3 linked regions of the Canis lupus familiaris genome follow. The protein of the gene in region 3 interacts with the protein of the main gene of each other region in a pairwise test. Links are inferred from orthologs where the notes say so. Each region holds a gene or a part of one and is shown on either strand. Other genes may lie near its edges.

What was found.
Region 1: the proteins of ESR1 (region 3) and MED25 interact in a two-hybrid assay, tested with the Homo sapiens proteins (2 studies listed by BioGRID). The link is inferred for Canis lupus familiaris from reciprocal best matches to the Homo sapiens genes ESR1 and MED25.
Region 2: the proteins of ESR1 (region 3) and TRAM1 interact in a two-hybrid assay, tested with the Homo sapiens proteins (2 studies listed by BioGRID). The link is inferred for Canis lupus familiaris from reciprocal best matches to the Homo sapiens genes ESR1 and TRAM1.

What each region holds. Positions count from the first base shown.
Region 1 is NC_049222.1:107,409,461-107,420,010, reverse strand, and holds the start of MED25 (mediator of RNA polymerase II transcription subunit 25), read left to right. Parts: upstream 1-4,443; 5' UTR 4,444-4,500; coding exon 4,501-4,634; intron 4,635-4,730; coding exon 4,731-4,776; intron 4,777-5,007; coding exon 5,008-5,132; intron 5,133-10,550. UniProt on the Homo sapiens protein: Component of the Mediator complex, a coactivator involved in the regulated transcription of nearly all RNA polymerase II-dependent genes.
Region 2 is NC_049250.1:20,179,911-20,190,593, reverse strand, and holds the start of TRAM1 (translocating chain-associated membrane protein 1), read left to right. Parts: upstream 1-4,576; 5' UTR 4,577-4,793; coding exon 4,794-4,916; intron 4,917-10,683. UniProt on the Homo sapiens protein: Involved in the translocation of nascent protein chains into or through the endoplasmic reticulum (ER) membrane by facilitating the proper chain positioning at the SEC61 channel.
Region 3 is NC_049222.1:42,766,768-42,776,706, reverse strand, and holds the end of ESR1 (estrogen receptor), read right to left. Parts: intron 5,572-9,939; coding exon 5,337-5,571; 3' UTR 1,100-5,336; downstream 1-1,099.

The DNA.
Region 1 (10,550 bases), about 65 Mb from region 3:
TTTCCGGGTGTGTGCATGGGACCTGTAGCTTGCTTTTAACAATGGAATTTATCGGAAGCAGTGGGATGTCACTTCTGAGATTAAGTTATAAATATTATGACTTCCATCTTGCTTGCATTTTCTCTTCTGTCGGTACTGTCTTGCTTGTTCTGATATAGCCAATGCTATGTTGTGATGCACCCAAAGGGGTGGTCCTTGGAATTGAGGACAGTCCCTGGCCTACAGCCCATGAAGAACTGAATCCTCCTAATGATTACAAGAGTACAGAAGCAGATCCTTCTCCAGTTCTGCCTTGAGATGATTACAGGGCTGCCTGATGCTTTGATCGAAGCCAGTGAGAGACTCAAACATACGAGCCAGTGAAATCAGAATTGGATTCCTGATCTATAGAAACTCTGAAATAATTAGTGTTGTTTTAAGCCACTACGGTGTTTTTTTTTTTTTTTTATTGTATTTATTTATTTGAGAGAGACAGAGCATGAGTAAGGGGGAGGAGGCAGAGGGAGAAGCAGTTTCCCTGCTGAGCAGAGAGCCCAATGTAGGGCTCGATCCCAGGACCCTGAGATCATGACCTGAGCTGAAGGCAGACCCTTAACCAACTGAGCCACCCAGGTACTCCTTAGGCCACTAAGCTTTGAGGTAATTTGTTACACAGCAAAAGATAACTTAGATAATGTCCTTTATTTCTCTCAACACTTTGCACATTATGGTACATTATGAACCCAACCATTGCAGGACCTAAAGTCCTGGAGGTGGGGATGTCACATCTGTTAACTGTTCTTTCTGTGGACTCTAACTTATAGTCCTTGCTTCTGCGGTGGTGGTCTTTGATCTGAACTCATTACCTGCTATTGACCGGAGTTCTATAAGGAGTACTGACTTCTACTTTTGCAAATTCTCAGGAATGTTACCAACCTGGAACGAGTTCAACTGCCCTGGGATGCTCTTGCTTAGCTGGAGAAAAAGACTCGGTTTTCCAATTCACAGCTACATTCAGGTTCTGTAATGCCAATGCAGCCCCTTCCCTGTGCAGGCAGTTCTATGCCAACATCCCCTTTTTTGTTAATTTTTGGCTGTCTTGGGAAGCCCCTGTGGCTTAGCGGTTTAGTGTGGCCTTCAGCCCAGGGCGTGATCCTGGAGACCTGGGATCCAGTCCCACGTTGGGCTCCCTGCATGGAGCCTGCTTCTCCCTCTGCCTATGTCTCTGCCTCTCTCTCTCTCTCTCTCTCTCTGTGTGACTATCATAAATAAATAAAATCAAAAAAATAAAAAATAAAAAAAATAAAATCTTAAAAAAATTTTTTTGGCTGTCTTTTGGGGGGACAGTGGGGAGGGATTCTTGAAGACCTTTCATGAGGTCTACCTTTTAAGAAACCACCAATGTTGCAAAAATAGTATTATTACACCTAATCCATCATAATGCTAGAAGCTGAAGTCCAGGCTAAAATATCTAATTGTTCATTTTTACCATTTGTAATATATTAACAGAGATGTATTAAAAATCAGTTAAGGGTGCCTGGGTGGCTCAGTCAATTAACCGCCTGGCTTCAGTTCAGATCATGATCTCAGGGTCCTGGGATCGAAACCCACATTGGGCTCCCTGCTCAGTGGGGAATCTGCTTCTTCCTCTTCCTGTACCCTTCCCCCTTTCCTTGTGTGTTCTTTCTTTCTCTGTCTCAAATAAAATCTCTTTAAAAATCAGTTAATAGGGATCCCTGGGTGGTGCAGCGGTTTGGCGCCTGCCTTTGGCCCAGGGTGCAATCCTGGAGACCTGGGATCGAATCCCACGTCGGGCTCCCGGTGCATGGAGCCTGCTTCTCCCTCTGCCTATGTCTCTGCCTCTCTCCCTCTCTCTCTCTGTGACTATCATAAATAAATAAAAATTAAAAAAAAAATCAGTTAATACAACCAGTCATACATTCAGCTTATCTAAAGAAAAGTTTCCTTTTACTTAATAGGGTGGATTTTAATTTTAGGAAGTATTTTAATCGTCTTACCTGTTGATCATTTTTCCTTTCTCCAATTTAATCTTCCTTATACTTTTATGTGATCCCTGGGTGGTGCAGCGGTTTAGCGCCTGCCTTTGGCCCAGGGCGCGATCCTGGAGACCCGGAATCGAATCCCACGTCGGGCTCCCGGTGCATGGAGCCTGCTTCTCCCTCTGCCTATGTCTCTGCCTCTCTCTCTCTCTCTATCATAAATAAAGAAAAATTAAAAAAAAATCTTCCTTGTACTTTTATTAAAATTGAATTACACTGGCATAAAAAAATGGGAGCTGCTTTAAATTAAAAGAAATTTAAGAGAGAAAAAAAGAAAAGAAATTTAAGAGTTATAATGTCTAAATATGTTTTTGGCCTTTGGATCCTAATGTAAATAAAACAATTGAAGAAAGACATTTTGAGAATCAGGGAAAGTTGACTGTGGATTCGTGTTAGATAATACCAAGAATAATTTTGTTAGGGGTGATAATGGCATAGTGGCTATGTAAGAAAATGTCCTCAAGGTTTTTTTGTTTTTGTTTTTTGTTTTTTTTTTGTTTTTTTTTTTAAGAATTTTTATTTATGGGCAGCCTGGGTGGCTCAGCGGTTTAGTGCCGCCTTCAGCCCAGGGCCTGATCCTGGAGACCTAGGATACAGTCCCATGTCAGATTCCCTGCATGGAGCTTACTTCTCCTTCTGCCTGTGTCTCTGCCTCTCTCTCTGTGTCTCTGAATAAATAAATAAAATCTTTTAAAAAATGAAGTTTTATGTATTCATTTGAGAGAGTGTGAGCACAAACAGTGGGAAAGTAGAGAGAGAGAGAGAGAAGCAGACTCCCTGCTGAGCTGGAAGCCTGGCTGGGGCTCCATCCCAGGACCTAGAGATCATGACCTGAGCCAAAGGCAAGCCGCTCAACCATCTGAGCCACCAGGCTCCCCATCCTTAACTTTTTAGAGAGGTTTGCCAAGCAGATAGAGGTAAAATGATGATGGGATGTTGGGACTCTGCTTTAGAAGGCTTCAGCAGGCACATCTGGGTGGCCCAGTTGGTTAAGCGTCTGCCTTCTGCTTGGCTCAGGATACCAGGGTCCTGGGATTGGGCCTTGTGTAGTCAGTCAGTCTCCCTGCTCAGTGGGGAGCCTGCTTCTCCCTCTCCTCCCTGCTCCTGCTCTCTCTTGCTATCTCTGTCACTATCTCAATCCGTCTCTCTCAAATAAAGTCTTTAAAAAGAATAAAAATAATAAAAGACTTCAGCAAAGAAAATTAAAGCAAAAAGGGACGGATAAGGTAAATGTGACAAAATGGTGATATAACTGTATGCAAGAGGAATGCACCCTTTTATCTTGAAGTACATTACCAAACGGCAGGAGGGCAAGTTATGCTGATTTACAGCCCCTTCTAGACTATGTCTGAGCCCAAACTCCCCCGACTTCATTGGCATCATTCTTTCCGATATTAATTAGCACGACAAAAGCAAAATGCTTTTTAATTGGTGAAGATAAGCAATTTTCAGGGGTTTAATTGCCATTTTAAATTGTTTTGTATGGGAGAAGAGAGAGCCTTCATACCAGTAAAAAAAAAAAAAAGTATTTCTCTTTTCCTACGTTTTTATTGATGAGTAAGTTATATTTATGTAGTAAAATTTCAGTCAATACATGTTACAAACGACTTTCCCAGTTTATCATATTTTTTTTTCAACTTGGCTTATGGAGCCTTTTGAACAAATTGATCAATATTTTACGTTTCCTGGCTTTGCTATGATGATAAACTCTTTTCCCAGTCTTCAGGATTATGCGGTGTGTTCCTTTCTTCCTTCAGCTATTTTTAAGGTTTCATTTGTTGCATTTACATTTTTAATCCACCTGGAATGTATTTATGTTCTAGGCTAGTTTCTGGCCGCTCTCCCAGAAAACAACAATCAGGTGTTGCCTAGCAACCGCCACTTGGGTTGGAATTGGGCTTCTTTGAGAGGGAAGAACAGCTGCACTCCCCTCCGAGTGGCCGGCAACCCCAAGCGTTGCCTAGTAGCGCCATTTCAGAGGATGTGATTGGACCCTTCACACGACCCTCCCCCCATCTCTCCGCGGCAGAAAAAAATTAACCAGAAACCTAATCTCGCCGATAGAAAACTAGGGCAGCGTATGCGTTGCATAGCAACCAGGTCTCCGGCCCCTCCCATTGAAACCAGAGGCGGAGCGGGCGCCTCGCTCAAAGATGGCGGCCGACTACGGCTCTCTCCATGTATGTCACTCTCCACAGTCCTGACAATGACCCAATCTTCCCCGTCAGGCCCCTGAAGGGGTTCGCTATGCTCTTAATCTTGCACGCGGCGGGTACCTACGAGGATGGAGATAGAACCAGCGCGCCCTGCGTGCCCCGCACAAACATGGCCGCGGGCGCGCCGAGCCGCGGCGCTAAGACGTCCCGCGCCGGGGGGCGCGCAGCGCAGGCGCACTTCCGCTCTTTCCACAGCGGCTGCGGCGGCCGCGGCGGTGGCGGCGGTGGCGGCTGCTGCGCGGGGCATGGTCCCCGGGTCGGAGGGCCCGGCCCGCGCCGGGGGCCTCGTGGCTGACGTGGTGTTTGTGATCGAGGGTACAGCCAACCTGGGGCCTTACTTCGAAGGGTTGCGCAAGCACTACCTGCTTCCGGCCATCGAGTGAGTGCCGTTTCCCCGACTTCCAGCCCGGCCCTCCGACTTTAGTTTTCCACAGTCTCTTGCCTGACCCCGACCTTTTACCTCCGACCCTCGCAGGTATTTTAATGGTGGTCCTCCTGCCGAGACGGACTTCGGAGGAGACGTGAGTCTTGGGACTCCTGAGTCTGTAGAAGGAGGGAGGCGGGGACCGGACTCCTGAGTCTGAGGAAGGAGGAGCCCGGGGACCGGACTCCAGGGTCCGAGGGGCGGAGGGGGCCGGGGATGGACTCCAGAGTCTGAGTGGGGAGGAGTCCAGGACCGGACTCCTGAGTCGGAGGGCGGAAGAGCTGGACGGGAGTTCCAGATGAAAAGTTCCTCCCTCCTCCTCTCCCAGTATGGGGGTACCCAGTACAGCCTCGTGGTGTTCAACACGGTGGACTGCGCTCCCGAGTCCTACGTACAGTGTCACGCTCCCACCAGCAGCGCCTATGAGTTTGTCACCTGGCTCGATGGCATTAAGTGAGCATTTTCTTGTGTTAGGGGGTGGGTTGGGGGACCCTGTGAGGGACCATGAACGGATGGCGGCTTGACTTGAGTTTCAGGAACCGTCGCTCACACTGGGTGGCTGAAAGGACTGAGAGGGATTGTTTTTGTCCATAAGTCACTTCTGTGGTGGGTTCCGTGTGCTCAGCGTTTTTGCCCTCCGATGTGGAAGTAGAAAAATCTTCTCAGTTTGGGAGGCCTGTTGAGCTCCAGCTCCGATCTCGTACTGTGTGGTTCTCCGCATTTGGTCGGCTGTTCCTCATCTCCACCGTAGTATTCCTATTTCACATGGGCCTCTTGAAGCCTGAGTGCAAGGGGGGCGTGGGGCCTAGGCCAGGATAGATCTCTCTGTGCTCTGAATGGGATTTGGAATGTTCACATTGCAGGCTCCCGCGGGTACAGATAGCCTGTGGTCATATCACAGCTAAACCATCAAACTCCCAGACCCAAGAGTCCCTGCTCCCTTTGTGCCTAATGTAGTTTATCTCTTGTCGCTTTATTTATTTTTTTTAAGATTTTATTTATTTATTTATGAGAGACACAGAGAGAGATGCAGAGACATAGGCAGAGGGAGAAGCAGGCTCCCTGCAAGGAGCCCAATGCGGGACTCGATCCTGGACCCCAGGATCATGCCCTGAGTCAAAGGCAGATGCTCAACCACTGAGCTACCCAGGCGTCCCTATCTCCTGTCTCTTTAAAGGGGGGGATTAACATTATAGTACTTGTGTTAATTATTTATTGTGTTATTTATTCTTTGTTGTGTAACACATTATCCCAAAACTTAGTTGCTCAAAACAATAAACGTTGATTATCTCATGCCATTTCTGTAAGTAAGGAATTCAGGACTGGCCTAGCTGGATAGTTCTGGCTCAGGGCCTCATGAGGTTGCAGTCATGCAAGGGACCAATTTGTTTTCAAGGTAGCTCACTCTGTGGCTGGGGGAATGTTCTCCTGACGTGGCAGCTGGCTTATTTCAGACGAAGCAACACAACAGAGAGGGCAAAGAGGAAGCTACAAGAGTTTTTATGATCGAGTTTTAGAAGCCACACAGCGTTGTCTCTGCCACATTCTGTTTGGTAGAGAAGTCAGTCCTGTTCAGTGCAGGGAGCATGAGGGGAGGTGAATCTCAAGGGTGTGAATAACAGGAGGTGGGGATTGTTGGGGGTGGGGGGTGCTAGCTACCATGACTTCATAGGCATAGGCATTCTTTGGGAATTGAATGAGTTAGTTGGCTACTACTTAAAACAGCACCTGACATGTATTAAGTGCTATGTTAGTGTTCACTGTTGTTTCATGCCTGTTTCTTGGTTTGTGAATAGATAATGGTAGTTCAAATGTCCATGCTCTCTGGAGGATCACAGGAACTAATTTTCCTATGGTGCCTTCATACTGCCTAGCCCAGGTCTGGTCTGTGGTTAGAGTTCATGAAACGGCACTGGTTCATGATGGCTCTTCTCTTCATTCGTTTGTACGGCAAGAGTTTGCTACTTAGCAAACTGAGTGCCTGCTCTGTTCCAGGCTATGTGTGTGCAGGACTAGGTGCTGCACGCCCACTGGGAAGTTGACACCCAAGTTTGACCCCTCATGGCCATTAGAACTAGTAGTCAGGACAGAGTAGGATTTCCCAACCTCAGTACTGTTGACACTTTGGGCCAAATAATTCATTATTGTGGGGGATTGTCCACATGGCAGGATGTTCAGTAGCCTCCCTGGCCTCTAGCCACCAGGTGCCAAGAGCCACCTCCAAGTTGTGACCAACAAAAACGTCTACAGATGATTGTCAGCTGTCCCCTGAGGCAGGGGGTAGGGAAGGACAAAATCCACCCCAAATGAGAAGTACCGAGATAGGTTGTTTTAAGACATGAATAATGGTAAGACGGGACTCCCTGATGCCCAAGTTCAAGTCTGATGTCTAAGTCCCTAGCGCCAAGCACAAGGTCTGGCACCAGGGCGGTCTAAGGAGAACTGGGTGGAATGAGGGAATATGTGAGTGAATGCCCAGAATGCATTTTATATATATATATATAAATTTTTTTTTTAAGATTTTACTTATTTATTTGAGAGGGAGACAGAGTGTGGCAGAGGGAGAGGGAGAAGCAGACTCCCCTCTGAGCAGAGAGCCTGAAGCCGAAACCTGGGCTCAATCCCAGGACTCTGAGATCATGACCTGAGTCAAAGGCAGATGCTTCACTGATGGATCCGCCCAGGCGCCCCCTGAATGCACTTTATACTCTGATTCTTCCCAGTGAACTATAAGCTTCAGGACCCAACTCAGAGGTCCCTTCCCTGATGCTGGCAAGCAGCCATCACTCCCTCCTCTGGGCCTGCCCCTCCCAGCCGTCCCCTGTCGCAGCCCCATGCCTCTGGACTATGAATGGCTAGGTCCCTGGTGGTCCTTCTGCTTTTTGTTTCCAGCTGGGGCCTGGCACTCAGAAGGTCTCAGAAGACCTTGACAGTAAATAAATGAGTGAAAGCCATGAAGAAGATAATCACCAAGAAACCAAAGCTTCTGGTAGGTGTTGACAGGTCAGGACAAGCAGTTAAACCCCTTTATTTGAAACTTCCCAGAGGCACCTGGGTGGCTCCATTGGAAGAGCATGTGACTCCCGATCTCGGGGTTGTGAGTTTGAGCTGCACACTCAGGTGTAGAGATGACTTAAATAAGTAAAGAGAAACTTCAAAATAAAATAAAATAAAAAAACCTTAAAGATGGACAAATAAATCTTTCCAGAGCCCCTGGAAGATAAGAGGGAGATACTTTTTGAGCACATTCAGCATATACCCACACCTCCTCCTAAATCAGCTTAGAATACACTATATCTTTAGCCAAATGAAAAAGCTTTGTATGCTGTGTGCTCCCTGCGGAATTCTCCCAATCGGTTGATAAACATTTTAAGCCATTTACATTGGCAGCAGTCAGCGGTTTACCAAGTCCTGTGTAACCACCTAAATTCAGTTTCTGTGACGTTGCCGGGGGAGTCTGGCAAAGAGATCACAGAGTTGGCGGGTTTTGTTCACGCCCTGAGAAGAAATCTTATCTTCTCCTGGAACGTCCCTAACTTAAGGAACAAAGTATGTAGTGTGATCTTTGAAACATCCTTGCTTTGGGAAGATTTATTTCTGATGTTCCAATTCCTTTCTTTCAAGAGGGGTGGGGATTGTTTCCTCCTCCCCTACAGCGATTGACCCAGAATCAGAAAGAATAGAGGTAGAAGGAAAAGAGCCCTGAGTGTGTTCTCCCTAGCACTGTGACAGTCTGTTTGTTCATTCATTCACTCCTTTTCACAAATGTTTGTGGAGGAAACTGTCCTGAGCCCTGAGGAACTGGGGACCTAAGACAGGCCAAGCCTGGCTGCTGTTCACATTCACTCATTTTGATCATACCTCAGTGGGGATGAGGACCCTCCAAAGGCTTATTACCCTGTGAAAGTGGGCACTGAAGACTCCAGTGGTTGTGGGGGGGAGGTGTGGGCATCAGCAAGAGACCTGGGGAAGCAGTAAGAATCAGAGCCCACCTGTAGCACCAGGGCACGTTCATCTTCATGTTTGCACCATTGAAGACTTTGCTTGGAATTCAGGTTCATCATGAACTTTATGATATTTAAAATATATTATGTAACTGACCAGATTTTTACTTCTCCCCATTTTCAAGTGTTTCTCATTTCCCAGACGAAATATTTGTTACATATCTCTCTGAGCACGGAACAGACAGCCTACACTCAGGAAGGGAAGAACAAGTTTTAGGATCTCAGGGTGATTGATTGGTCACATTTTCCCTCATAAGTTACTTTTTTAAATTGAGGTAAAATTCACATAACAGAAGTGATTGTTTTAAAGTGAACAATTCAGTGGCGTTTAGTATGCTTACGCTGTGCAACCACACAGCCCCAAAACACAGTTTCATGCCCCTAAAAGGAGACATGCACACATGACACAGTTGTTCTGTATCTTACCCCCTGCACTCCCCCCTAGCCTTCTGGCCAGGCCCAGCCAGGGCACCTTTGGCTCTAAAAGGCTTATGAAAATAGTGGTTTGATTTATTCAGGAACAGGAAGCAGCTGCAGAGTGGATGCAGGGTTGGTTTATTCGTTGGGGTCTACCCCAACTCTGGCCTTAAAGTTCTGGTGCAGAACAGAGTCCCTGTGGTGAGGAAGAGAAGGTCTGGGAGCAGGGGGTGGGGGTAAGGAGCAGCAGCATAGCATGAATGCCCTGAGAGGGGGAAGGAAGGCATCGGGGTCATGGGGCCTAGCGGGAGAAGAGGGTGGAAGCCTGCAACTGGAAAGAATGGGCATGAGAGCTGGGGAAGGGAGTGGAGGGGTCGAGCTGCTGTGGCTTACTCATCCAGGAGGCCTTTTCTGAAGCCCTGTGTGTCCTTGAGCATGTTGGACACAAGCTAGAGATACCTCAGACCGACCACTTGGTCTCCCTCCCTGAAAGCTGCCCTGGCTCTGGGAGTCAGGTGCACTGTGGAGGTAAGCTTGACAGTCACAGTATACAGTGACATGTGATATGATTGAGGGTGGGGCCTAAAATCAGGTGGCAGCTGAGGCAGGCTTCCTGGGGAAGGTTGTTGGGCTTAGGTGGGGGGTGTCATAGGATAGATAAGCAGGGATTTTCCTCCTGGGCCAGAAGAGGGGTGAACAGCACAAGACAGAAGACTGGTTATGTGGCAGATCATGGAGACCAGGGACATGTGAGACATTCTGGGGTACTTGTACCCAGAGGAGGGTGGAGCAGGAAGGTGGGCAGAGCCCGAGGCACGGAGGGTCTCAGATGCCCAGCTAAGAGCATAGCTTTATTCTGGCCTTAACAGACATGGTTGGATTAGGCAGCCCTTTGTTACGTGTATGTACGTGTGTATCTAAACTCTGTGTCACACATGGGGCTCAAAGTCCGACCCCAAGATCGAGAGTCCCACGCCCTGCCAACTGAGCCAGTCCCAAACCTTTAGCCATTCGTTTTTCAGCACACTTTTCCAGAGGCCTCCGTGATGCCAGACTGTGGGGTAAGAGAGGACTCAGACCTGTCCTTGCCTCAGGGAGACCAGCGCAAGGGCCACAACTCACGGGGACAGGGCCCTCAAAGCTCCCAGGGAGGGGCCCAGTCTGCACACATGTTCAGAGTCAGCCTTTAACAACCACGTGACCTGAAGAGCTGTGGTGATGGCAGCTGCACTCACCTAGAGGCCTTCCCTACACCACACCCCACATGACCCGGTGTCTTTTCTGCACATCAGATGGAAGAGAAACTGGAATCTGTATATTGGTTACCTGGGGCTGCCAAAAGGAAATAGTAAAAACTGGTTGGCTTAGGGGCACCTGGGTGGCTCAGTCAGTTAATTAAGCGTCTGCCCTCGGCTCAGGTTATGGTCTCAGAGTCCTGGGATCGAGCCCT
Region 2 (10,683 bases), on a different chromosome or scaffold from region 3:
TCATGAGCCTTATGGTTGATGACAGTTTTCCTCCCTTGCTGAAAAATGCCAGCTCTTTTGGAAGCCCATGCCCTCCAAATATACCACCCACTATCCCCCTGTGGCAATCAGCTACTAAACTCTGACTCCTCTTCATTTATGTCAGACGTTAGCACCTGGCTCATTCCCTGGCTCCTTCCCATCCTATCCCTTCAGTCATTCTTGGTGACTGAACTTCCATGTGAAGTGTGGCACCCTAGCCTTAAACTATTAAGCTTAACTCCTCACTTCTGCTGCATTCCTCCTCCATCCACCACAGCACACCCTCCCTTCATCGTGCCCTTACCATTTCATGGCCAATGACTGCACAACTCACTCTCAGCATCTCACTCCCCTACCCCTTCCTTCTCAACAAATGAGTCTCACTCTAACTATCCTCAACCCCATGGGCACCCCCCCATTCAGAGGCCCTAGCACTGTTTCTCTGTCCTCTGCATCTGTCAGAGAACTGGCAAGAAATAGATGGCATGTTCAGAAGGATTTAGCTGGAGAGTGTTTAATGAAGGGCCTGTTCACAGAGAAGTGGGCAGGTGGGGGGAACAAAGTTCCCAATGATTAGGAATGTGGGAAGCCATGACCACCAACAGCCTGAAGAGCCCAGGAAGAGCTGGAACAGTGAGAAAAAGGCTATCTGAAAGGGGCTATGACCACAGGAAAACACAGCCACTGCCAGAAGAAGTAAGGCAAGGAGGAATCAAGGAACAATAAATCCCCAAAACTCTCCTCTGACTTTTGGCTAGTGCCTTCCCTTGGCCAAACTCAATGAGAAGTCAGAGGGCAAGGGAGCCTCAGGGGTGCAGTCTGCAGAGGTTTGCCTTTTACAGCAGAAAAGGGTGGATTGTAGGCTGGAGGGTAATAGAGGATTAGAGCACAACCACCCCTCACAGCATTCACTCCATTAGCCCTGCCCTCATCTGCATATATCCTCAACATCCTTGCCCCTCTGTCATACTGGCTTGGCAAAACCCAGCTCTCTGCCTCCTCTTCCCCTGGATCCAAGCATGGGGTGTGACTGGAGACAAGTCTCAATTAGAATTTATGTCCCCAAGTCTCAAGGAGGCTCTGCTGTTTGATTATGTTCCCCCAATCCATTCACCCTCCCACAGTTTTACACCATCCTCTCTTCAAACTCCATTGTACTATACCCACTCCTGATGATTTCAGTTCATATTTTACTGAGAAAACAGATGCAATCAGAAGATGTACAAAATACAACTGAATTATCATAGACTTAAATGTAAAAGCTAAAACTATTAAGTTCTTAGAAAAAAATGCAGGAGTAAATCACTGTCTTCTTGCATTAAGCAATGATTTCTTAGGACATAAAGAAAAAGTGATAAAAGAGAACAGATAAATTGGGCTTCATCAAAATTAAAACTTTTGTGCTTCAAAGGACACCATCAAGAAAACAGAAAGACAAATAGACTGAGAGAAAATATTTTCCAATCATGTATCTGATAAGGGACATGTATCTGGAATATATTTTAAAAACTCCTAACTCAATAAATTTTTTAGAAAAATAACCCAACATATATAAGCAAAGGATTTGAAGAGACGTTTCTCCAAAAATATACAAATGGCTAGTGATCACATGAAAAGACTACTAATCAACAGCATTAGTAGGGAAATGCAAGTCTAAGACACAATAAGACACATAACTCATTGGGATGGAGAAAAGTAAACAAACAGAAAATAACAAATGCTGGCAAGGATGAGTAGAAACTGGAATCCTCGGACATTGCTAGTGGGATTGTAAAATGGTGCAGCCCCTTTGAAAATCAGTCTGACAATTCCTCAAAAAGTAAAACATAAAGTTGCCATATGACCAGCAATTCTAGATATATACCCAAAAGAATTGAAAACAAGAGTCCATATAAAACTTATACACTAAGGCTCACAGCAGCATTGCTCACGATCATCAAAAGGTGGAAATAAACTGAATGCCTATCAACTGATAAATGGATAAATAAGGTGTGATATATCCATATGATGGATATTATTTTTGCACATAAAAAGGAACGAAATACTGATTCATGCTATAATATGGATGAACATCAAAACCCTCACTTATCTCAAGTGAAAGAAACCAGTCACAAAAGTCCACAATTCTATATATATGAAATGCCAGAACAGGCAAATCTAGAGAGACAGAAAGATCAGTGGTTGCCAAGGGCTGCCAAGCCTGCGAGGGAAAATGGAGAGTGAGTGGTAATGCGCACAGGATTTTTTGGAGGATGATAAAAATGCTCTAAAGTTAGAATATGGGGATAGCTGTGCAACTTTGTTAATGTACTAAAAACAACCAAACCATACACTTGAAATGGGTGAACTCTGTGATATAAATTATAAAAAATTTAAAATTTTAACTTCCAATTTTAAAATTTGTTTTTTTAAAAAAAATACGGTTGAATCCCAAGAGACAGAATGCCTAGATCAGTCATAGAAGTCAGCAAAGGTTTCAAGAAAATCACGCATGAATGAGACTTGAAGGAACAGTGGGAGTGCGCTGGGTGTATGCAGAGGACAGGAGAAAACATTCCAGACAGAAGGAGCAGCAGGCATAAAACTGTCGGGAGCATGGGAAGAGAGCGTGATCTACAATATATAGTATGTGGAGTTGGAAATGTTGCACTAAGAGATTGGGTTTGAGCCTGTCTGGGTAGGCAGGGGCCAAATCATGAAGAGCTATTTAGTTCTGCTAGCCTTCCATGAAGGAAAAGGAAAGCCACAAAAAATGTTGAACCTGTTAGATGCATCATTCTGATGTAAAAACTGAAAGGTGATTTGGAGGTAAGTGAAACTAGTAATCATTTGACCAGAAAGGAGAAGAGTAAGAGCGAATATGTAGAAAGCCCTAACTCTCTACTAAGCACTTTCCTGGAATCATCTCATGTAATTTGCATCGCACTTAATTACAATCGTCTCCTCTTTATGGATGACAGCTGCGTGGCTTGGTCCCCTGCCTCCTTCAGGTCTTCAGGTAAATGTAACTTCTCCATGTTTTCCCTATTCCCTTTGCTTTATTTTTCTCCAGGACCCTCATCTCAATTTAACGTTTCACTTTTGGTTTTTTTTTTTTTTTTTACTATTATTCATGAGAGACACACACACAGAGAGAGAGAGAGAGAGAGAGAGGCAGAGACACAAGCAGGCTCCGTGCAGGGAGCACGACGTGGGACTCGATCCCAGGTCTCCAGGATCACGCCCCGGTCTGAAGGCGGCGCTAAGCCGCGGAGCCACCGGGGCTGCCCAACATGTTTCACTTTTTAAACCCTGTTTAAAGATCCTCTCCCTTCTCTAGAATGAAAGCTCCTAAGAACAGGCTAATTTGACATTTTTGTTCAGTTCGGTATCCCCAATGCCTAGCATATGGGTAGACGCTCAATATTCTTTGAATAAATGAAGAGATAAATAAAGAAGGAAATCGAGTCTCATTAGAGGTCAAGTAACTTGTCCACCGTCATTCAGGGTAATAAGCGACAGAAGTCTGACTCAAAAACCCATCGTCTTAAACCACTCTGCAGTTCGGCGGAGTCGTAAAATCGTAGGCAAAATGCAAGTCCCTCCCCGAGGCTGTCAGTGGTAAGGGGGGGGGGGGGGGTTAAAATTACCCGAGTGTGATGATAGTTCGGAAGTGGAAGGATGCTGGAAGGTATCAGTCCAGAATGACTGGTTTCTAGGTTTGGCAAATGGGTAAACAGTGGTGCAATTTAAGAGAAGGAATACAAAGCAGTCTTGGTCTAGGCAGAAAGATGAGAGAGGAAGATCTGTCTCGTCCACAAACCGTTTTCTTTTCTTTTCTTTTTTTTTTTTTTTTTTTAACAAGCTCTCTAGATTACTAAGAAGTGTTGTTAATAAGTATCAAGCAAGTAAACCCAAACTAATCCTGGCTGTCTTCGGTGAGACGCAGGGAGGGATGGGGATGGATGGATGAGGCTGAGTAGGAAGTGTAGGAAGTGTTTTTGTGTGTGTGTGTGTGTTTTCCAGAAAGTAGTTCAAGCTTTAAACAGATAGTTTTGGTGTTTGTTTTCTAGGGTTGTTTTGTTGCCGTTGCTTTTTAAGTCCCCAAGAGTGTTTAAAATAACCCTGAAGTTGACTTTTGAGATGCCAAACCTGAAGAATGCACCTTGCCCTTGTGTAGTTAGGCTGCAGCCATAGGTTTGGGTTCCCTCGATGGCGCTTCTGGCTCACCAGGGACACCCCGGCTCAGCGTGGCCAGGAGGGCGCGAGGGGACGCCCGGGGCCACGCACGCCACAGCACGCGGCCCCCCGCGGCCCCCGCCTGTTAACTACGCGCAGGAAGCTCGCGCCTCAAACGACTCCCAACCTCCACGGCGGAGCCCAGGAGCCGAGCTGCCGAGCGGAGCGGGTGGGCGCGCCGCTGCGATTCCCCACCCAGGCCGGCCGTGGGCCGACGGCCTCCGGTCCCCAGGGGGCGCTGTGGGCTCGCAGGGGCGACCCCGGCACGAGCGAGCGCCGTCTCCCTGGTGCGCATGCTCACCCCCGCTGTGGGCTTGCCTCTTTTTTTTTTTTCCCCTTTTTTTTTTTTTTTTTTTTTTTTTTTTTTTTCCGGGCGGCCCCGGCGGCTGCGTACTGGCTGTGGGATGGGAAGTGAAGCCCCAGCGAGCGGCAGCGGCGGGGCGGTGAGGAGCAGCCAGGGGGAGGCGGCGGCGGCGGCGGCGGCAGCCAGTCTGTGAGCAGCTGGAGAGCGGCGCCGGGGACGAGCACCTGCAGGCACGGGCGGCGGCCTCGCCATGGCGATTCGCAAGAAGAGCACCAAGAGCCCCCCGGTCCTGAGCCACGAATTCATCCTGCAGAATCACGCGGACATCGTCTCCTGTGTGGCGATGGTCTTCCTGCTGGGGCTCATGTTCGAGGTGAGTCCGCCCCGCGCCTCAACCGCCCGCCCGCCCGCCCGCCCGCGCCTCCCCCGGCTGCCGGCCTCGGCGCCTCGGCCCGGGACGGGGGGAGGTGCGGGCCTGCCCTGCCCTGCCCTGCCCTGCCCGGCCCGGCCCTGCCCGGCCCCGCCGCGCCCCGCGCCCCGCGCCCGCCCCGGGATGCCGAGCCCCGGCAGGCCTGGCCGCCCCCCGGGCCGCCGCGCACACCCCGCCCCCGCCCCCGGCCGGTCCGCGGCCCCTCACGTCGGCCGCGCCGCGCAGTTCCTGGTTCCCGCGAAGGGTTACGTGGCAGCCGGCGAGGGGCCGGCGGCGGCGGGGGCGGCCCCGGAGCTGACGAGCTGACGAGCTGACGAGCTGGCTGCGGGCGGGCGGGCGCCGAGTGCGTGGGGCCGGCGAGGGCTGGAGACCCGAGCAGGCCGGGCCTCGCGGGCGGGCGGGCGGGCGGGCGGGGGTCCCCGGAGGCCCCGGCTGGGATGCGCGCGGGGCACACGCCGCGGGCGCCCGCTCCCTCCGTGCAGGGCGGTGGCCGCGGGCCGCGGGCGGTCGCCACGAGTCCGGCGCGCCCGATTGTCTGCACTCTTCTCCCCCACCGGCGCTACCGCCACTTCGCGAACTTTTCTTTCTTTTTTTTTTTTTTTTTTCTTTTTTTTCCTTTTTTGCCGTGCTCTCGCGTTTCCCGTGAAGCCACAGGGTCTGAGCCGTGAATCCAGCTTCTCAACAGCCGTGCCAAGAAGCCTGAGCGATTCTCTTTTCGTTCCGACAAGTAGGAGACGATGGAAATATGTCAGGAGTGTGTAAATTCTCTTCCCACAGATCTCGTATTTTGATGACTTCTTTCACAGCTGTTGAATGTGGGTGATAAACTTTGCAAGGTGAACGTGTACGGAGCATCCTACGGGTTTTCTTTCCCTCGCTCCTCGGTACACACGCCCCATTCCTGATCTTTTCCTTTTTAATGTTTCTGTGTATAGACGCTGTGCCCCCATCAGATACACTAATTATTTTTTTAAGATTTATTTATTTATTTACTCATGATAGACGCAGAGAAAGAAAGAGGCAGAGACACAGGCAGAGGGAGAAGCAGGCTCCATGCAGGGAGCCCGACGCGGGACTCGATCCTGGGACTCCAGGATCGCGCCCTGGGCCAGAGGCAGGCGCTAAAACCGCTGAGCCACCCAGGGATCCCCTACACTAATTATTTTACTTATGTATTCCTTGTCTCCCTCCTCCTGGGATGTAACTTCAGTGAGGCCAGAGGCTTTGAAGTTTTATTACTCTGTTTGTAGTGCCCAGAATAGCACCTGGTACATAGTAGGTGCTTAAAAAAACATTTATTGGATGAGTTGGGTTAAAAATTCTTTTTTTGGGGGGGGGGGGGTTAAAAATTCTTAAGAAAAACCAGTAGGGGAACCCTGGGTGGCGCAGCGGTTTGGCGCCTGCCTTTGGGCCAGGGCGCGATCCTGGAGACCCGAGATCGAATCCCACGTCGGGCTCCCGGTGCATGGAGCCTGCTTCTCCCTCTGCCTGTGTCTCTGCCTCTCTCTCTCTCTCTGTATGACTATCATAAATAAATAAAAAAAATATTAAAAAAAAAAAGAAAAACCAGTAGAATGCGGCAGCCAGTGACAGCCGAATACGATTTTTAATGAATAAAATGAGTAGAATTTTTTTTTTGGGGGGGGTGGCTGTATTAACTACGTATTCCTGATTTTTCTTTTTTTTATTGGAGTTCAATTTGCCAACATATGGCATAACACCCAGTGCTCATCCCGCCAAGTGCCCCCCCCCTCAGTGCCGGTCACCCAGTCACCCCAACCCCCCCACCCACCTCCCTTTCCTTGCCAACATATGGCATAACACCCAGTGCTCATCCCGACAAGTGCCCCCGCTCAGTGCCCGTCACCCAGTCACCCCAACCCCCCCGCCCACCTCCCTTTCCACTACCCCTTGTTCATTTCCCAAAGTTAGGTGTCTCATGTTCTGTCACCCTCACTGATATTTTCACTCATTTTCTCTCCTTTCCCTTTATTCCCTTTCACTAATTTTTATATAACGAATAGAATTTTTAACTGGAGTCCCTGTGGGTTTTATAAATGTTATTAGGTAGTATAACATTTTAGTTTGCTTTGTTTCTCTTCTAATAGGCTTTTCTGGATCTAGACAGATGCTTTTAATTCCTGGCAGTGTCATTTATTCCACTTAATCCACTGCTAACGAGGTAGTAGATATGGTCGAAAAGAAGGTAGAAAAGAACTAACAAATGTCCCACGTTTTTTAGGCTGGCCCTGAGCTACTTACCTATTGGGTGACCCAAGTCTAAGCCTCAGTTTTTCAATGTAAGGAAATAACAGCACCTGTAGTATTCTCACAGCCGTTGTCGTGTTACAAGGATCAGATAATATGGTGTGACTGCATCTGATGACTGTTTAAAGTACTCTATGACTGTATGATATGAAGAATACAATTCTAAACATTTGGACTCACTTTTTGAATTTTGTATTTATATGTACTTTCTGTTTTGATATTAGAAGTAATACCTGTATATGTACAGCCTATTTAACAGTTTTGTAAAACTTGTTATAACCCATCTCCACATGGTAAGAATTCCTGACTTTAAAAATATAATTTAAGAATAATATAACCTGCAGGGTATATTTGCAATGTTTTGAATGAAATGGAATGTAAATCAGAAATCCTGATACTTAGAAATGGTGTAACTTTACTTTTATGTAAAAGATTTCACAATCTCTTAGCATATTTCTAGGGAAGTTCACCATCTATACCTTGCCTCACCTGTCAACGATTTTTTTTTTTTTTAAGATTTTATTTTATTTGTTTAATTGGGGGTGGGAGGCAGCAGCGGGGAGGAGCACGCAGACTCTCCACTGAGCGAGGAGCCAGCCATTGGGCTCGGTCTCCCAACCCTGAGGTCTTGACCTGAGCCAAAATCGAGACTGAAATACTTATTCGACAGAGCCACCCAGGCGCTCCATGTCAGTTATTTTTTTTTAATAGCAAGTGGATTTTTGCCTCTACGTAAATCTGTAAAATTTATAAATCTAAATAGACCTAACAGAGATCTAAATAGAAGTTTATAGTTCAAAAGAGAATGTTAAAGTAATACACAGAAGAGGGAAGTTTGTGCAAGTTGTACATTTCTCTTACCATATGTTGAAGTTTTAGGATTTGAATTCATGCTATCTACATATTGGAAAAACCTGACAAAATTAATTTTATTTAGTTTTTTAAAATAATTGTTACTGAATCTCAAAAGTGATACAACTATAGAATTAGAGTATTTGTGTTAGAATAATAGAGAAGTTGATTTTTTTGCAGTAGAACCTGTTAAACCTTTTGTGTAAATATATTGAGAAAATGTGAGCAGATTTACCAAGAAATTGACAAAGCAGTAACGGATACTGTATTACTAGCCAAAATGAAAAATCAATATAAATATACTGTAGAAGCATTAGATGCTATAGCTAAAGGGATCCATATTCACGTTAGGGCTCTGCAGCTTGCACACTGGGTAACCTCGGGCAGATTTAACTTCTCAGAACTTGGGTCCTTTCTGTAAAACAGAGCTCATTTTGTTACCCTGAGAATTAAATTAACTAATAATGTGTATCATGACTTTAGTTCCATGCTTGGTTTGCAGGAGCCATGCCATGAATAGTAGCTATTACTATTCATTAGATATTTTATCAAAGTTGAAAATAGAAGACAGCATTTTTATGTGAGAGAAGAGTCCTATCAGGTTAGCTTCTAAAGAGATTATGTGTAAAAAGGTTGATAAGGAAGTAGTCTGTTTTGAAGAAATCTAAGTTTAATTTCCCGGAAACTTCATGTTATCAAGAATTGCTTGTTAATTTTGAAATCATGGTTTTAGTACAGTCAGTATCTGTCCACATAATGCAAATCATGGTCTTTAGTTAATGGCTCCATATTTGAGTTGGGAAAACTCGAGCATTTGGAAAATAGAGGGGTGTTTGGGAATCCAACTGAGGATAAGAGGAGTGAGGAGTTACGGGTTTCAAGAGGAATATTTTTTACTAGAAAGGAGCTTCTCTGCAGGAATCTAGGTGGCTTGTGCCATGCAGGTTTGTGGGAACATTTACAATTATAGCTATCTTGCAACCGTTTCGGAGTCTTGTTATGTTTAAGGATGACTTGCCTTAATGCTAACATTTTCTTCCTGTCTCATTTTTTAAGGGCTTAATTTTATTTAAGCTTACGCTCATGGGGAAGTGGAATGTGATACTCAAAAATCATCTTTATCTTCCAGGTGTACAGTCAGTATAGTAAATCACACCTTCGTCTAAAAAGTACAGAATAATTTTAACAAAAAAACATAAAGCCCAAGCTAGTGACCTCTTGATTAAGAAAACATGAGCGTATTCATACATGCAACACAGAAATAGGGAATTCCTTAGAGTTTGTGGATCCTGTTTAAGATGTATCTAAGTTTCATTCTTTTCTTATAAATGGATCTTTTTTATTTAACTTTTATTTATTTATGATAGTCACACACAGAGAGAGAGAGAGGCAGAGACACAGGCAGAGGGAGAAGCAGGCTCCATGCACCGGGAGCCCGACGTGGGATTCGATCCCCGGTCTCCAGGATCGCGCCCTGGGCCAAAGGCAGGCGCTAAACCGCTGTGCCACCCAGGGATCCCCCTTTTCTTATAAATGGAAAGCAGTGATACACAGGCCCAAAACTGTCATAAACTCAGTTATTTTTACTTCTGAGTGTATTAATATATTTCTGCAGCATATTTTATTCCAAACTAATTTGTCTTACCATTAATTGATTATAATATTAGTTTAAAGCAGTGCTGGCTGAGGTGTGGGGCTTAGGAGGCCTGGAAATGGCTAGTAGCATGATTTTTCTATAAAACTTTAGGGGTGTGTAGTTTGTATTTTTCCTCTTGCTCTACTTAATGCCACATGCTAAAGTAGCTGGAGGCCAGATTTTAATTTTATTTGGAAGCCTACCATAAAAAGATAATCTAATTTTTGTTGCTTTTGGTATTTGATATTTATCTTTGAAAAGTTTTACTTGTCATTTGTAAAGGACTCCTGAGAAGTTTTCTTAGCTATGGTAGCGGCAACCTCATATTCCAGAATAGAAATAGATACGTGGAGTAAGTATGTACATGTTGATATATGTGAAATCTAAATAAAAGTGAAATTAGTGAAAATTTTCATGATCAAAAAATGAAATTTAGTAATTAACTTTATTAAAAAATAATCACATGAAAGCAGTGTTGCCCTGGAAACTCATGCCATCATTCTGCTCTAGTGCATTCATGTGGATGACCCAAATGGTAATACCAGAAGCCTTGCTGGCTTTTTCTATTCAAGACCTTTACATATCTATGACAGTTAAGCAACTCACTTTTGTGGCCATTCCATGGACTTCATCACGTAGGCTTGCCTTGTTTCCAGATTCTAAATTCCAGTATAGCAGAACTCAGCCACAATCTACATTTTGTTAGACCTTCATTCTACTGCTCATATGCCAACTCTCCATCTAGTCTAAGCTTTTATGGTACCTTGACCCTCTCTGCTTTACTTTCTTCCTGCACACTTGACTTGTCCACACTCACCCCCGGCCCTCAGCTCCCTTTCGCTCTTGATCTGTTTACCGTATTAGCCCTGCAAATACCCAGCCATCGATCCAGTCTGCCCTCTGCCTTTCTGAGTTTCTCCATTCATGGATTGCTAAGGGATGCCAGAGAAAGTC
Region 3 (9,939 bases):
ATAGTTTTCTCTTAGAATCCTCATAATAGCCCCATAGGGTGGGTAGTTCTCATTTCCACTTTAGGCAGGAGGAAACAAGGTAAAATAGGATTGAAGAACTTGCCCAGGGATGATAAAACAAGAAAACAGAAGAGCTTCTTGGTGTCAAAGTGACTCAGTGTGATAAACCTACACTCCTGTTAGTGAGGAAGTGAGTACAGACAGGCATGGGAGAGGACTCAGGGAGAGCAGAGCAGTGCTAGCCACTGTCCGTAAATGCTTCCTGTGTTAACCCCTGTGGTCTTCACAGCAACACTTCAAGGCAGGTGGTGCTATTATTTTCTCTTTTTATAGGCAAAGAAACTGAGGCATGGGGAAATTGCCTTGTGCAAGGTCACATGAGAAATGGTAGAATGAAGCTTCAAACTGAGTAATCTAGCTGTAGAGCCTGCGTTGCTGTATTCTGTTGCCTCTTAATTAGTCACATTAGTTTCCCTCAACTCATTCATTAAATTACAGAGAAAATGGGCAAGAGGTAGCTCTGAAAAGGGAGCAGCCATTGGACAACAGAAACCCTAGGGTGGAGTGGGGTGGGATGGGGTGGGTTGGGGAGGCAATGTACTGGTCATTCCTGCTTTAAGGTCATGATTAAAAAAAATTGGTTTTTGAGCAAATCATGTAAATTTCAGATTGTTCATTCCAATTTGCACTTCTTCATTCAGGAGTAATTACTCTCAAGCTTCTTTCTTCTCCCCTACAGGGAATGGGATAAGGTTAGCCATTAGAAAGCTACTATTTTAAAGAACACCTCATATAATCTTCACAACCACTCTGTGAATTAGGTGTCACTGTAACCATCTTGTTGATGAGGAAGTGGAGGCTCTGACAAATTCATTGCCAAGGATCATAAACCTTGTATGTGGTAGAGCCGAGAAGTGAGGCCAGGTTGGCCTGCCTCAGATGTCCACACACTTCCTCCTGTGCCTGGGAGGAAGGAGCCTGGGAGGAAGATCATCAGAGTGATCTTCAGGATTCACTGCATCCCATCACCTTGATTTGAGGCAGTCAGTGGTAAGCCATTAGCAAGAAAATAAGTTTACAAAAAATAAGCCCATTATCATTCGTTTAATTTTTTATTTGAACATCAAATAGATTGAGAAAATTGTTTACAGGTGCTTGAGTATCCCACTGGATTCCTTACTTTTTAAAGGTGCAAAAGAGGTTTACAAGTGTGTTTCAGTAAACAAAGCAAGGCTGCAACAAAACAGAATCACATCAATAATAGTATGCATCAGCGAAAAGGCATATTAAACCATCAGACACGATTTGGCATGTAAGCCTTTTCCCATAAAACAAGAGCTCTACATTGAAGAATATGTTGTGCACAAAAAGCATTGTTTATAAGCTGTGAGAGAACATAAACTGGCATAATGTCACTTATTAATTCAAGTCTCTATGACCAATGACCTCTCTGTGAATGCAAAGGGGTCCACATCTCAGGCACCTGCTCATGGGGCTGTATGTTGTTTCCAGGGTACACAGCTTTGTACAAACACACTGAAGATGGGTTTGGAACATGGCAGCATTTACATATTTTAAAAATTCAGGCACATTTGGATGCAAAAAAAAAAAAAAAGAATAGAAATTTTTCTCAAATCTCTGAAAGACAGTGCAAAATTGAAGTGCCATAATAGAGGCAGCAGTTACTTAGAAAACAATTATAAACGACATAGAAAGAGGCCACACTCACTTTAATCCAAATGAAAAGGAGATGCAGTTAGAAAGAGAGAAATTACACTAGTAGTGAAAAGATGAATATTTGGGACCACAGTTTAATTCATTTGCTCCAGTTGAGAGTAAGTTTTCAGGGAGTTCACCTAGGAAGTGTGCAGTGTAATCTGGATCATCCTCCCAAGACTTGCACCACAGGGAAGCAGGATTGCCTCAGAAACTAGTATATGACTATCTGCCTTCCAAATAACTAGTTTCCCAAAGCAGATTTGCCTGTGAATATTAGATATTACTACAGTCGTAGTGATCATTCCCGGCATCCACAGTCCATCTAAGAGTGGGAAAGTATGAATAGGAAGGGATTTGAAATTGGTTTCTAAACCAACAGCCTAAATCAATGGCCATTTCAGTGTATAAGATTTTAATGCGAGAATACCTTAATGTGATCAAGAGTAAATTATCAGTAAGTCCCTTATTTGTTCAGTCCCCAAAAGGTATGGGATATGGCATGGTTAGATAGCCTTGCAAGGTTCATCGGAAAATCTAACCAATGACTGCCCTTCCTTAGGGGCTGGATTTTGCAACCTCTGTAGGGTCTTCTCTTTGGATGAACTAGCTTCTCTGATTGTTGCATGACAGCAATCCAGAATCGTTACCGCAAGCCGGGAGCTAGGCAATGGCCAAAAGAAACCCAGACCACTAGCTACTCCGTAGATTGTGCGGACGCTTGTTCTTCCATAGAATTCCAGCTGCCATTTTAGAAATGCTTGTCATTTGTAGTTCACAGGGCACAAGTGGAATATGGAACTCTGGTTCATACTCCAGGTGCCAGAACTGATCTGCCTCAAAATATTTCAAGGCTCTTATTACTGTATTTCCCAGTCTTGAAATTCCTGAACCTACTTCCCCACCCTACCCTAACCCCCCAGGTTGATTACGTCTTTCAAAACTTAAATTGCCTCAGAGTGGGGGAGGGGGGCGGAATTCAACATGTTCCCTACCCCCAACAGCAGTATCAGCTGCTAAGTGTCAGCTGTCCATTAGTGGCACTTCAAATAAGAATAAAAAGAGATATCTAAAATTATTTGAATTTTGCTGTGCTAACATTCCAACTATCTGGTGTTCTCTGCCCATTTCAAATGTAGTAGTATCTTTAACATGAATACAAACACATTAGATGAATAATGCAAAACCCTCCACTTCATTATTGTTTGGATTTAGCTGGTATTACATCATCTATAGTACTAGAATTTTTTTGTCTGTTTTTATTTTTTTAAAAGAAAATCTAAGTATAAACATTAAAAAGAACCCACTGACCCATTAGGTACTGTCCAAAAATATTACTACTGATATTTTGGTAAAGCAAAATTAGCTGCCCTGAATAATTTTCCTTTGCAGGCATAATCTCTGCTACATAAGATTGTCTATCGTTCGATATCCAACAATAGGCATCTAGATTAGTGCTATTTTGTCTACTGTGGATATAAAAGTTGATATGAAATGTGATCTTCATTAAAATGAATAATCACCAGGCCCTAGGCATCAATGACTGCATACATGACAAGGTAGCTATACAAAAAAACTAAATATCTTTTGTTGATTTTGCACATTTAACCCAGTCAAATTAAATCCAGAATGGAATTACTACATTCAATTGTCTGATAAACAAGCATTGTAATTTCAAAAAAAATATATATTATACTATATAAGGTGCTTCTTAAACAAAACAACAACAAAAGAATTATGTTCTAAACATATTCTTACTGCAGATACACAATATTGCCCCTAAATTCAGATGCGCATATATAAAAAAAAAAACAAAACTTTTTTTTGGCCCTCCCAGGCTCCCAGTCCTTTGGTGATCACTTACTAAGTAATCAAAAATGAAAGAAATCCATTTTTTGAAACAGGCATCCCAAGAGAAGCCCTAGAAGCTTGGCTGGGTTGTTCGCTAACCCATCACTTCTCAATGGGGTTTGAGTTATAGACAATGAGGTCACCAGAGGAAACCAAACTCACTGAGAAGAAAGATAAACCATAGATGATCTGGAGAAGGAAAGGCCTAGGGAAGGCTGCCCTGTGGCTGGAGTGAGTCTTTCTTGTTTAGCCTATAGGTCAAAGGATTCCTATAGCCCAATTCTAATCTCGCTCTCTTGGCTTATGAAGTTTAATGAAATGAGCTTTGGGTAAAGTTTTTTCTCCAAGACCAAACCGTGGTTTTTGGATGAGCTCTAAACAACCAAGAGCAGGTAAAGTTTGACCAGATCCCAGGCAGCCTGAGTAGTGAGCCTCCTATCCTCACCCTCCAGCCTCACCTAACCACGTGCAGGGCCAGCTGTAGGAATGCAGCTGTCTTGTCTATTGCTGTTCCTTCCAATCATGGGGGCAAGAAGAGGAGGGCTGCCCATGGATCCCAGGGCTGCCCCACAGTGCACACAGGGCCTGCCAGGGCCACTCCTGTGTAAAGCTACAGCATGTGGCAGAGCCACCGTGAGCCTCTCAGTTTTAGTTTCCACCCTACTTTCCTCCTGTTCTCTAATATGTACAATAATTGTGCACGTTTACTATTTACCCAAGTGCCCTAGGGCTAACGATGTCACCAGGTACCCACTCATTTAAACTGCCCTTGGTCATATGCTGGGCACTATTACTAATTGACCTTCTGTGTCAGTTACACACCAGGAAGAACCAAGCAGAGCGCCCTCTGCTGGTAATTGTGAGACCACGCTAGAACAGGTTCTGAAGCTGATTTACAAGTCCTGCGGGGAAAGGGCTTTCTTTCATAAAATGAAAACAAAAAAACAAAGGCCAAGAATTTATCCCTTAAAAGGAAACTGGTATATGTGGAGGTGACTTAACTGGGATCAACTTGCTGTTTTCCATAGATCCATGGGAAGCAAGAATTAACTGGAACCCATGACCTGTACATAGTGTTCTCAAAAACCAGTGGAAGAGCTTTCAGCAAATCTGAAGGTGCAGTGTATTAAGTTGACAGAGTTTTGACAATTAGGGGACCTTCCTTCTCTGTGGGCATCTTGTATTCCTATAGGGCAAATGAAGAGACAATCACTGCATATTCAGCTCCAGCCATGCAACAGAGCAAAAGCTTTAAGGTATTACTTTAATAAAATGTTACATTACTACAGGAATACAAGATGATGCCATAATGAACCCTTGACCTAGCTTTCTCCAAGTCAGCAAATTAAAGGGGCCACTTTCAAGTCTTTCCTGTGGCTTTTTCTTAGATTTGTTAAAAAGTGCTTCACAGAGATGAAATGTCCACTCTCCAGGTCTGGGTCTCAACAAGTAGCTTAAATGCACAGTCACCTGAGTCCCAGCTCATAGACTGAGTTCCATCATGAAAAGCTATAGAATCCTCATGCTTAGTATTATAGCAAAGGGAGAGAGAGAGTGAAAGAATTTAGCCCTGGAATCCCTTTGGCTGTTCCCAAAAGAAGGCGTGCCACTAAGAACTGAGCAAGCAAACAAATGGCCACTCATATTAGAAAGCCATGGTGGTGGATGCATGCTGGAGTGTGCGCAGGAGCAGAACTCTGCTATTGTGATACATGACGTGGGTAAAATGGTACAGGGATTCTCAGGACCTTGGGGTAGCCTGGGAGCTCTCAGACTGTGGTAGGGAAATTCCCTGCCTCCTCGGTGATATAATACGTTTGCAAGGAATGTGATGAAGTTGGGCCCGTGGTGGCCAGCTGGCTCTGGTTTGTCTCCTCCATGGGCACACCCCCACGGCTGGCTGGGGCGTGCAGGCGGTGGGCATCCAGCATCTCCAGCAGCAGGTCGTAGAGAGGCACCACATTCTTGCACTTCATGTTGTACAGATGCTCCATGCCTTTGTTACTGTGGGTGGGAAGACACACAGAGGGACCACTTTAGAGTAGCGCAAGCCCTAGAGCTGCTGCAACCCCTCAGCAGGGACCAAAGTAAGGGAAACTCCAAAGACACCTGTAGGCCAACCTATCTCCCTGTTTAAAGAGCCATTTCAGGATTTGCTATACAAGTGATTTCCTTCCACTGATTCCAATAAGGTTCTATTCCCCACTGTTAGCATTGTATCTAAAAAGAGAACAGAGGCCATATGGCCATGTAGGAGGGAGGTCTTTTTTTTTTTTTTTTTTTTAAGTATAAAAGTGGTTCAAGAACTTCCCTTCCTTCAGACTTTCCCCAGTGTTTTCCATTTAATCAGAATAAAATCTGAATTTCTTTCCATGCTCTCAAGGTCTAACTGATGTGGCTTCTGCCGACCTCTCAGGGCTCCTCCTGCCTCTCTCTGCTACCTCATACTCTTTAGCCATGCTGGGGGAAAAAAAAAAAAAAGAAACAAACAAAAACAGCTTTTTAAGAAAGAGCTTGAAGAAACTGGGCTCTTTACTACCAGATGCAAGTGTTTATACTTACTGTTCCTCTACTTGTGTGCTCTTTCCAGAGCCACATTCTCTGAAGGGCCTTTTGCTGCCACGGGTGGCAGTCACCTCAAGGTCCTGTGGTTTTTACCTGTCCTCTTGCATTTACTCTGTTTTCCTCCTGGCTCTAGGACAACCTGAAATTCCTCTCTGGATGAGTGCATGCTGGTTCTTGCCCCCAAGCACCCCTGGACCTGTGAGCCACACACGCACACGCACACACCAACATGCACCAGGCAAATTCCTGGAGACAGCGATCTGCCCAACCTGCCGGCCTCGACCCTCGCCATGTATGCAGTAGATGCTCAGAAAAATACGGGGCAAATGGACACAAGGAAATGTAGACAAATGTCATTTCTTCTTTTGACCACTGTCTTCCCCACCCCACCACCAATGGGAAAAATACAGAACAACTCTTATCAAGCTTGAAATTTTTTAGAAAGAATCATGTATCATGAGTAGTCAGGACCAAGAGTATTATCCTGGAAAATATTTACATTTTTAATAGGGGAAAAGTCAGCCCAAGTTGGAGACATGCCAAGAAAACACAGCATCAAGCTATTCAGGTCTTACAACACCACAACCTAATTACATATCTAAGTGGTTTTTGTTTGTTTGTTTGTAATTTAAAATGCTGTTAATATTAAATGCTGGCTGGATCTCACACAGTCTTGCTCTTGCAACCTAACGAATCACATTTATAGTCACATGGAATCTGGTGTTAAGTTCTCTGAGTAACAACATATGGCTGGGTCAAACTTAATAAAACAGAGTTCTGTGATTTAGACTGGCTGTAACAAGGCACCAAAATATTATTTTGTGCATGGGTGCACATGCGCACACGCACCCCAGGGAGAGAGAGAAAATGCTCAAAGCTTTCAACAGAATAGCAGTTTCTCTCCAGCTTTTCACACAAGTCAAACAGACTCTAGAGAGCTCTCTCGCTGCTGTTGCCCTTCACCACAGGTTGCCAATAAAACTACCAGAGCCCTATAAATTTAGTGCAGATATATTGGGGTATTAACTCAATAGGCTTGCTAATGCTGAAAGCAGTTGACGGATTTGAAAGTTCAGCAATTCCTACCAACAAATAAAAACCTTCATCTGCAATACGTGGTTTCTATGACATCTTTGAAAATTCCTAGCCCAGAGTAAAAGCTAACACAGCTCTTCAAGAGGAAGCTTACTCTCTAGCCAGGAAACTTGGTAGAGATTTGCTATTCTGACACATTCCCTGCATCCCTTTTTATATTCATAAAAACATACACATGGGAAAGGATTGGAAAGTGTCCTCTGAATGCAGTTATCTACCCTACCTGGCCAAGGTGAGTCCTCCGTTTGTGATACCAGATATGTAGGCAATCCCCTGAGCACAGAAACGACAATCACTCTCTCTCAAACTTTGCCAAGTGGAAATCACCAACTGGGAATTTTGAATTCATGGGGTAGGGAAACTACACAAATAACTTATTCATCCATTCACTCACATGTTCATTCACTCAGCAATAATGTTGTGAGCCTATGCGACATAGCAGAGGTCATCATATGTAGGACTGTGAAGGGATAGAAAGAAAGAAACATACATTTATTTTCTCAAGAAGCTATCAATTTTCAAAGATCTCTCCAGAGAGGGTGGCTCATGGGACTTTGATGGGACAAGCTTCTTGACACCTGATGCATAATCTCAAGGTTTGAAAGTCCCTTCAAAATTAAGCCAACCCTCCAGACACCACAGCCCTTCCCTCACAGCCACTAAGAAAAGAAATTTCGTTTTCATTCCTAGGGTCTGGGTGTAAACCCAAGGTCATACAGACTTCATCATGCATGGGTATCTGATCCCTAGTATCATCACTTCACCTCATTTTTATCGCCTTTTTGGAGTAAATAATCTTTTCTTTCTCCTTTTTCTCCACTTTCTTTTTAAAATTTTTTTTATTGGAGTTCTATTTGCCAACATATAGCATAACACCCAGTGCTCATCCCGCCAAGTGCCCCCCTCAGTGCTCATCACCCAGTCACCCTCCCCCCCCCCACCTCCCCTTCCACTACCCCTTGTTCATTTCCCAGAGTTAGGAGTCTTTCATGTTCTGTCCCCCTCACTGATATTTTCACTCATTTTCTCTCCTTTCCCTTTATTCCCTTTCATTAATTTTTATTTTATTTTATTTTATTTTATTTTTTTAAAGGATTGTTCTTTTTTTTTTAATTTTTATTTACTTATGATAGTCACAGAGAGAGAGAGAGAGAGGCAGAGACACAGGCCGAGGGAGAAGCAGACTCCATGCACCGGGAGCCCGACGCGGGATTCGATCCCGGGTCTCCAGGATCGTGCCCTGGGCCAAAGGCAGGCGCCAAATCGCTGCGCCACCCAGGGATCCCTCATTAATTTTTATATTCCCCAAATGAATGAGACCATATAATGTTTGTCCTTCTCCGACTGACTTACTGCACTCAGCATAATACCCCCCAGTTCCATCCACATTGAAGCAAATGGTGGGTATTTGTCATTTCTAATGGCTGAGGAATATTCTACTTTCTTTATCTGTGCCCCGCAGGCTGAGTTCAGCCCTGGGCCAGCCACATTACATGACTGTTTGAAGTGGAGATGAGACCATTTTCTCCTTTTGGCACAGAAAGGCCCCGTTTCCTTTGCTAATACCCTTCCTTAACTCCTATACAAAATATTTATCGAGTAGTTATTATAAGCCAAGCCCTACTCAGTGGTACCGGGTACACAGATTATCCAAGATGGGTTGTGGTCACTGCCTCAGAGAGTTTATGGTCTAATTGGGTAGTGAGAAAAATAAAATGGGGCAGCAATCAGGAAGAACAGAATGCAAATCCCAACTGGATTAAGGATCAGGAGATGCTTCCTGAAAAGAATATCTAAGCCAAGATGGATTAGTTTACTGTTGACAAAAATGCATTCCTCAGGCCACATGCCCCTGATCTTGACTTTAGCCCTCATAGTGTGACTTGTTGGCCAGTCAATGTGACTTAACTCAGAGATTAAAATGTACTTGCCCTTACAGGCTTGCTTTCTTGTACCTCTGCCATCACTATGAGAAGAGTATGTCCCAGTTAACCTGCGGGGGCGAGGAGGATAAAAAACACATGGCGCAGAGTCACCTGGCCAACCTGCAGGCCTGTGGGTTGCATCTCCCAGATGAGCCTGGGAGCAGCATCTCCCAGATGAACCTGGGCTCCATCAGCTGTCCCACAGATGTGGGAGTGAACCCAGGTGGGATGAACAGAGCTGCCAGCCAATCTGCATCCTGCTCATGACTCAAAGAACAATCATTTATGGCCAGAGCTCAGATCTCAGGAAGCTCTAGGGACTAGAGCACAGAAGTTCTATAAGCAAAATGAAGGGACTTATAGTTTAAAGGAATAGGAAGCTAATTCAGGGTCTTAAATAAAGGAATGACATGAGCAGATGTGGTATTAGATGGTCACTCTGGCTCTGGTGTGGAGAATGCATTAGAAGAGGTCAAGACTGAAGACAGGGAGGTGTGTTAGGTGGTCACTGCAGGAATCCAGAAGGAAATGGTGGCATGGATGAGGGGAGAGGAAATGAGGGGTGGCAAGAAGGGATCAGAGAGGAATGGAAACTGGACTGGAGGAACCAGTGTTGACTGAGAGGCTTAGGGACAGAAGTTCTCTCAGGGCTTCTACGTGTCTCTGACGGGAGTATGAAGTAGAAACCTTAACAGCTGCACCCAGTGCCTTCAGAGGATAAATGTCTTGCCTTGATCTAGGACAAAGTGAGTGGCCAAACGTCGCCATCCTCCCTCAACCTGCACAC